2 linked regions of the Mus musculus genome follow. Each later gene encodes a partner of the first gene's protein in a complex. Links are inferred from orthologs where the notes say so. Each region holds a gene or a part of one and is shown on either strand. Other genes may lie near its edges.

Evidence for each region. Proteins that work in one complex are often made in the same cells at the same time.
Region 2: the proteins of Elane (region 1) and Slpi are in contact, whole or in part, in a crystal structure (PDB 2Z7F), measured with the Homo sapiens proteins. The link is inferred for Mus musculus from reciprocal best matches to the Homo sapiens genes ELANE and SLPI. Residues at the interface, in NP_001963.1 of Homo sapiens: His53, Phe54, Cys55, His70, Cys71, Asn74, Val75, Pro111, Val112, Asn113, Leu114, Leu158, Ile165, Leu180, Arg182, Val197, Cys198, Phe199, Gly200, Asp201, Ser202, Ala216, Ser217, Phe218, Val219, Arg220, Gly221; in NP_003055.1 of Homo sapiens: Tyr93, Gly94, Gln95, Cys96, Leu97, Met98, Leu99, Pro102, Phe104, Met121, Cys122.

The regions. Positions count from the first base shown.
Region 1 is NC_000076.6:79,885,147-79,888,719, forward strand, and holds Elane (neutrophil elastase precursor), read left to right. Parts: upstream 1-1,165; 5' UTR 1,166-1,188; coding exon 1,189-1,252; intron 1,253-1,567; coding exon 1,568-1,724; intron 1,725-1,836; coding exon 1,837-1,978; intron 1,979-2,419; coding exon 2,420-2,653; intron 2,654-2,770; coding exon 2,771-2,971; 3' UTR 2,972-3,070; downstream 3,071-3,573. UniProt on the Homo sapiens protein: Serine protease that modifies the functions of natural killer cells, monocytes and granulocytes. Inhibits C5a-dependent neutrophil enzyme release and chemotaxis. Promotes cleavage of GSDMB, thereby inhibiting pyroptosis. Promotes blood coagulation.
Region 2 is NC_000068.7:164,353,705-164,357,875, reverse strand, and holds Slpi (antileukoproteinase precursor), read left to right. Parts: upstream 1-1,368; 5' UTR 1,369-1,603; coding exon 1,604-1,688; intron 1,689-2,263; coding exon 2,264-2,425; intron 2,426-2,850; coding exon 2,851-2,999; 3' UTR 3,000-3,000; intron 3,001-3,492; exon of another isoform or gene 3,493-3,562; 3' UTR 3,563-3,806; downstream 3,807-4,171.

The DNA of each region.
Region 1 (3,573 bases):
GAGCAAGCCATAAATTAGGGGCTGAGCTGGCTGCCATGTGCTGTCTAGTCCTGAACCCCAGGTTAAAAAGACCCACTGTCCTGGGAATAGATGTTCACACCCTTAGTCCCAGCACTGAGGAGGCAGAGGCAGGTGGATCTCTGTGAGTTCCAGGCAAGTCTGGCTACACACACACTCATGCACACATATATTCACACACACATGCACACACACAGAAACTCTTTTATAGGTATGTGTTGCTGTTATTACTATACCTGAGGTAAACTGAGGCAGAGAGATTGGCCTTCAGATATAAGTTGTAGATTAGGGCACCAAGTGGGCACGGAGGTGCTCACCATCATCCCAGCACTCACGAGGTGGAAGCAGGGGGATTAAGGGTTTGAGACTAGCCTGGGCTACGTGAGATTTTGTTTGTTTGTTTATATATTTATTTACTTATTTAATTTTGAGATAGGGTTTCTTTGTCTAGCCCTGGTTATCCTGGAACTAGATCTGTAGACCAGGCTGGCCTCAAACTCACAGAGCTCCACCTGCCTCTGCCTCTGCCTCGCTGGTACTGATTTTAAAGGTACATGCCACCACTACCTGGCCCTAAGTTTTTTTTGTTTTTTGTTTTTTTTTTGTTTTTTTGTTTTTGTTTTTCAAGACAGGGTTTCTCTGTATAGCCTTGGCCTGGAACTCACTTTGTAGACCAGGCTGGCCTCGAACTCAGAAATCTGCCTGCCTCTGCCTCCCGAGTGCTGGGATTAAAGGTGTGCGCTACCAAGCCCGGCTCTTTTTTTTTTTTTTTTTTTTTTTTTTTGAGATCCCATTTTTAAAAAAAAGAAAAGAAGGAGGCAGAGGCAGGTGGATTTCTGAGTTCGAGGCCAGCCTGATCTACAAAGTGAGTTTCAGGGCAGCCAGGGCTATACAGAGAAACCCTGTCTCGAAAAACCAAAAAGAAAAAAACCAAAAAAAAAAAAAAAAAGAAGATGGATGTCTGCTGAGTTTTCATTGGTATTCAGCAGCATGGATGATGCTGACATGGAGACCCTGAGGGGCACACATCTCTCCATGACACCCCCACTGTCGTGTCCCAGGGAGGAAGTAGGGCTGTGGCCAGGATGGGGCAATACAACGGCCTCTGGTTCCAGCTATAAGTATGGCTGTTAGGTAGGGATGTGGGGAGCCGCGAGAACACAGCCCACCATGGCCCTTGGCAGACTATCCAGCCGGACTCTGGCTGCCATGCTACTGGCATTGTTCCTGGGTGGTGAGTGCAAACAGACACATGTCCACCCTTCTGACCTCTGGTCCATCTCTTTCATCTACTTGCACATCTGCCAGGACCCCAGGAAAAGATGTGAAGGTTTATAATGGCAAAGCCACGATCAGGAAACTGGGTTTCTAAGGAAACTGGGGTTCTAAGCCTGAGGGTGGTTACTGTGAAGGCACTGGGTCTCAAGTCTAAGGGCAACCTGGGCTAGGTCCCTTGTCTTTTCTCTGCCTCAGTTTCCCTAGCCAGCCTTGTGAGTTCTCACTGAGGGCCCCAGCAGCTCAGGGCTCACTCTTCTTTGTGTGTTCTCAGGCCCAGCACTGGCCTCAGAGATTGTTGGTGGCCGGCCGGCCCGGCCCCATGCTTGGCCCTTCATGGCATCCCTGCAGAGGCGTGGAGGTCATTTCTGTGGTGCCACCCTCATTGCCAGGAACTTCGTCATGTCAGCAGCCCACTGTGTGAACGGCCTGTGAGTCCCCTTCCTTCCCCTCTTAGCCCTCAATGTCCATGCGGGTCAGACTGGGGTCAAGAGGTCAGGTGGGCATTCCCAATAATTCTCCTTCCCTCTCCATTGCCCTTAGAAATTTCCGGTCAGTGCAGGTAGTGCTGGGAGCCCATGACCTGCGGCGACAGGAGCGCACTCGACAGACCTTCTCTGTGCAGCGGATCTTCGAGAATGGCTTTGACCCATCACAACTGCTGAACGACATTGTGATTATCCAGGTGGGCCTGCCAGTTCAGGAACCTGAGCCTCGTGCAAAGGTCCCGAGGTCAGCTTAGGGAGAGTGCACTGCAGAACAGGCTGCAGGACAGGTACACACTGGGTCAACTGCAGTCATCACCCTCTGAGCCTGTTTCCAGCTCAGCACAGTGGAGAATTAACTATTCTGTGGGCTGAATGTTGAAGGCTTAAATGAGATAATATACAGAAAGCTCTGAGCAGTATTCAACCAACAAACTCTTATTTGTGCCTTTCCACACACTGACCCTGAAGCTTGGGGAACTCTTGGAAAATACTCACGTCTTCCTCTAGTTCTTAAATTTTTTCACCACTTGATGGTCAGGTACTAAGGAAAGTGGGGAGGGTTCTTATAAACTGTGCTCTGTGACTTCTTGGTGTTCTATGCCTCCCCCCCCCCCCCCCCCCCGTGTCTTCCACTGTAGCTCAATGGCTCCGCTACCATTAACGCCAACGTGCAGGTGGCCCAGCTGCCTGCCCAGGGCCAGGGCGTGGGTGACAGAACTCCATGTCTGGCCATGGGCTGGGGCAGGTTGGGCACAAACAGACCATCACCCAGTGTGCTACAAGAGCTCAATGTGACAGTGGTGACTAACATGTGCCGCCGTCGTGTGAACGTATGCACTCTGGTGCCACGTCGGCAGGCAGGCATCTGCTTCGTAAGTACCCTCTGCAGCAGCAGGGATAGTAGTCGGACCCCAGGGAGGACTTCCCAGTGCTGGAGCATGGGTAGGGGATGACTAGAGATCCAGCCTCTGACATGGACGCCTCCACAGGGGGACTCTGGCGGACCCTTGGTCTGTAACAACCTTGTCCAAGGCATTGACTCCTTCATCCGAGGAGGCTGTGGATCTGGATTGTACCCAGATGCCTTCGCCCCTGTGGCTGAGTTTGCAGATTGGATCAATTCCATTATCCGAAGCCATAATGACCACCTTCTTACCCATCCCAAAGACCGAGAGGGCAGGACCAACTAGGACCTGTCTGCACTCCCACCCCGCTCCCCTTGCTCCCTTGCTCCCCCCTCTACCAGAGACCTCTCCATTTTACTACAATAAAAGCAGCCTTTGTTTTGTACACTGGGTCTGATGTCTGCTGCTTCAGGATGTAGAACACAGCCAATGCCTCGTATACGGTTCACCTCCTGGAGACGCTGCAGCCAAGCTGGGGCAAAGGTGTGGCAGGAGTCACGTCCCCCACTTTGTACAAAAGAATGTCCGTCAGACAGGTCTTTTGGTTTCTGTTCCTAAATCCCATGTTCAGCTAGGTCTCAGCATTTAGGAGGTTGAAAAAGGAGGATTACCAAGAGTCTGAGGACAGCTTGGCCTACAGAGTGAGAAAAATAGAGGGTTGGAGAGATGCTTAGCAGTTAGGAGTGTCTGCTGCTCTCATAGGGGACCTGGACTCCCATATGGTGGCTCACTATTGCCTATAGGCCCAGTTCCAGGGGACTGGATGCCCTCCTTTGGACTCTGTGGGCACCAGGCACATATATACACCTTCTACACATAATTAAGAAAAGTGAGCTTTTCTGCGCTCTCGCTGGACCAGTGAGCAGGGACGGCCTCAGGATGCAGAA
Region 2 (4,171 bases), on another chromosome or scaffold:
GGCTCTGCTAACAGCTGGCTCCTGGCTTAGAGAATACCTTGTGGAGCCCAGTACTTAACACATAGCCTTTTTGTGTCTGTTTCAATGTCTACAAACTTCCTTTGAGGAACAAGTGGGAAAATTACAAGGACCATGACATCTCAACATCCATCATGGCTGCCTCAATAAGACCTGGATACCAGTTGACATGCCATGGTGGAAGGGGGAATCTCTCGGAGCTTCACCCCTAGATGATAAAATACAGGTACTTAAAGATTGCCAAGAGAGGGGGTCTTTCCTAAGGATGAGCCCAGTTGGCTATCTAATATCAAGTGATCAGCCCTAAAAGACATACACACATGAGCAGCACTAACCTGACTCAGTAGGTTGTATCAGTATATCTATTCATATACACGCAGAACAGTAATAATTAAAGAAAGAGAGGCCAAGAGAGGCCGAGAACTTGAGAAGGAGGAGGGTGGGGGGTGAGATTGGAGGGGGTAGACAGAGGAGGCAAATGGTATAAATGCACAAATATGGAATCTACAGAGATGGTGCCACGATGCTGACGTAAGGCTCAGGATTTGCAGGAAGGCTCGGGATTTGTAGGAAGGGAATCTTGGGTTGAAGTCTACAGAGAACGATATCTCTTCTGATCATTGGATGCAATCAACACACACCAGGGAGCATCCATAGTGGGCGGAATGCATGGCAGCCATAGTTTTTGGCTGACATCTGAAGCCTGTGGAGGATTTAGGGGTAGGAAGAATGAATTCCTTTAACAAGTCAAAGGACACCACAGCTCCACGCTGATTGCAGCGATGAGTAAGAGGCCCTGTCTCTTTCCTCCAGTCCGCATCAGTGATCTCTATTAGCCATTGATGCAATTCATTCATTACTTTAAGGGTCATTTTAAGCCCTTAATCTTAAAACCAGTCCCAAGTTGTTTCACGACTAAGAGACTGAGCTCCAACAAGGTTGGCTGAAGGCAAGGCCCTTCTGTGTGTAACTTTCATTTGTTTAGGGATTGCTTTCCAGGTTCCAGTCATGGAATGGGCACCGGGCAAACAGCGGTGCAAATGATTTGGCAGAAATCAACATCAGTTGGTTGAGCCATGCGTCATCTTCATCTCGAGAAGGAATTTGTATTGAGCAATAGGTTAGAGTTTCAAAATCCCAGAAAGTCCAGGAACATTAAAAAAAAAAAAAATAGAGGTGTATGGCAGAGTTTCAGCCGAGAGTCCACGTGTGATGTCTCAGCTTCAGGTTAGGGTAACCCTTTTGTGACTGGTTCTTCTCTACTAGTGAGAGCAATAGTCTTGGGATTTCACAATGCTCAGGGCTCAGGTGATCACTTGCAATGTCCCTCTGCTGATAACTTCCAAGACAGCTTCTGTCATTTTCAGCTCTCAGGTGGTTACTCTGATGGCCTCATGGTCCTGCCTGAAACAGAAAGTCTGCCACCTACTTCTGTAGCAGCAAGACTCCTGTTCTGTGGCTAAGCTTCCTGCCTGTGCAAGAGCCACAGGGAGGGGCCAAATGCATGCCACTGGGGCCACGCCTCCTGGTAAAGACATAAATAGTGATCCTCGGGACTGGTCATCAGAGCTCCCCTGCCTTCACCATGAAGTCCTGCGGCCTTTTACCTTTCACGGTGCTCCTTGCTCTGGGGATCCTGGCACCCTGGACTGTGGAAGGAGGCAAAAATGGTGAGTTGGAGTTGCTTTGGTCCAACATTGCCTGGAGTATCAGAGGTGGGGGCTCCTGATGGTTTGGGCTGTTTTTCAGTTTACTCTGACCTCAGGGCGACATCTGTGTCTCGCTGGGGTCTGAGGTCTTGATGAAGTTTCAAGGCATGTAGAGGTGCTCCTCTTATGCAGCCATCCTGTCAGCTCAGGTCTCACACAGCTCTGTCCCTGCCCTTTAGCCTTTCTGTTTGTTTCTGTCTCTGGCTTTAGTTCTCAGCATCTCACATATTAGTTCCCTTCCTATTTATTTCTCTTGGTCTCCATTATTCCTGCTCCCACCTTCTGTCTTTGTGAGATCTTGCTTAGCCCTGAGGTAGAAAACCTTGACTGGGAGCCCGGTACCTTTTATCCTCAGTCTGATTTTTCCTGGTCACATGTCTTGGTTGACCAAGTCTGACTTTTCCTCCCTAGGTCAGCCCGGTATTTCTCTTTGAAGTTGTGGGCCACTGGAATGAGGGTCTATATTCTGAGATGTGGACCTTCGTCTAGGAATGATGATAGTCCGTACCCTCCTAACATCTTGAGCTTCTCTTTAGATGCTATCAAAATCGGAGCCTGCCCTGCTAAAAAGCCTGCCCAGTGCCTTAAGCTTGAGAAGCCACAATGCCGTACTGACTGGGAGTGCCCGGGAAAGCAGAGGTGCTGCCAAGATGCTTGCGGTTCCAAGTGCGTGAATCCTGTTCCCATTCGCAAACCAGGTGAGCCAGCAGAGAAAACAGAGAGGGGACAATCAACGTCAAGAGCCACCCAGAGTGAATGAAGAGTCCCTCCCAGGCATCCTTGTTTCTAAGAGCTGTTGGGTCCAACATGTCAGTTAGTCAAGGCCTCTTGCTGCCATTGGCAGGAAGAGCCATTTGCCTGCAGTTGCCACTCTGTGAGGATGATGGCTTTACAACCATTCGGCCCTTTCGGGGCTGGAGAGCTGGTCCCCTGCATTGGCTGGAGGCTAGATGGTAGCGAGGAAGCAGGTCCTCTTTCAGGAGGCGTGTTTGGGAGGAGGTGACAAAGGTGATGGGTGGATGGGGACGAACTTCCTCGCTCAGGAAGGAGATGTTGGGTTAAAGACATGGAGATGTGTTGCCTGAGCCCTAAGACATCGGCCCTGTGAATCCTTTCTCAACAGTGTGGAGGAAGCCTGGGAGGTGCGTCAAAACTCAGGCAAGATGTATGATGCTTAACCCTCCCAATGTCTGCCAGAGGGACGGGCAGTGTGACGGCAAATACAAGTGCTGTGAGGGTATATGTGGGAAAGTCTGCCTGCCCCCGATGTGAGGTAAGGAGTGGGCTGGGGTAGGCAGAGCTCATTTCTCTCCAGCCCTTTTCTGCTTCAAGGTTCTGGAGCTCGAAGCACATGCGCCAGGAGATTCTATTCTAATCAGGAGCCCCTGTCTGTTTGCCGTTTAAGGGAACTGTCCCCTGTTTCTTAGGGCAAAGCTTAGCATTGCCTGAGGCTTTGATCCTGTGGCAGCCTGTCAGGGTAAGGGCCTCGGGTGAATGGCTCTCAGAGTCTCTGCCTGCACAATAGAAATACCGAAGTTGAAGTTTTGCGAGGCACAGTATACGTTATTTGCTTCCCATGTTATTTACTTCATGGTGTCTCTCTGGTCAGAGCACAAAGGATAGGTATAATGTGAGGAATGTCTAGCTCAGTGCTCTGCGTTTTGAGTTTTACAACGACAACGAGATTTGAACCTGTTCTCCTGAAACCCCAGATCCTCTCAAGTCCAGCCCCACTTTACCCTTTGACCGTTCTCAGCATGCTCCCTTACAAGGGCTGGATAGGAATGATCTAGCTGGTTCCTATGTTGAAGGTCTTTCCTTACTTTCTCTTGTAGCCTGATCCCTGACATTGGCGCCGGCTCTGGACTCGTGCTCGGTGTGCTCTGGAAACTACTTCCCTGCTCCCAGGCGTCCCTGCTCCGGGTTCCATGGCTCCCGGCTCCCTGTATCCCAGGCTTGGATCCTGTGGACCAGGGTTACTGTTTTACCACTAACATCTCCTTTTGGCTCAGCATTCACCGATCTTTAGGGAAATGCTGTTGGAGAGCAAATAAATAAACGCATTCATTTCTCTATGCACACCGTGACTCTGATTCACTGAGGGGATGAGATGGGTGTGGTAGGAACCAATAAAGGAAGGATGGGAACGAGGCCTCCCTCTTACATTCCGGGAGGAGAAGGATGAGAATTCCAGGCTTGGGCATGCTTGAACCTTCCAAATATCATGTTTTTATCTGCAAAGTGGCAACAGGGACCGCTTTCTTACAACGTGTAGTGCACCAGAGGTTGCAGAATGGTGCAAAGTGTGTGTGTGCTATACAGCTGTGCTTTACCAGAGTGCCTTCACACACCACGGCCACTTATTGCTACCCGGCGTTATGAAAATGCGGTGCATGTGTGTGCACGCACACACATGTGCAGTGTGCTTACTTGTATGTGTTTTT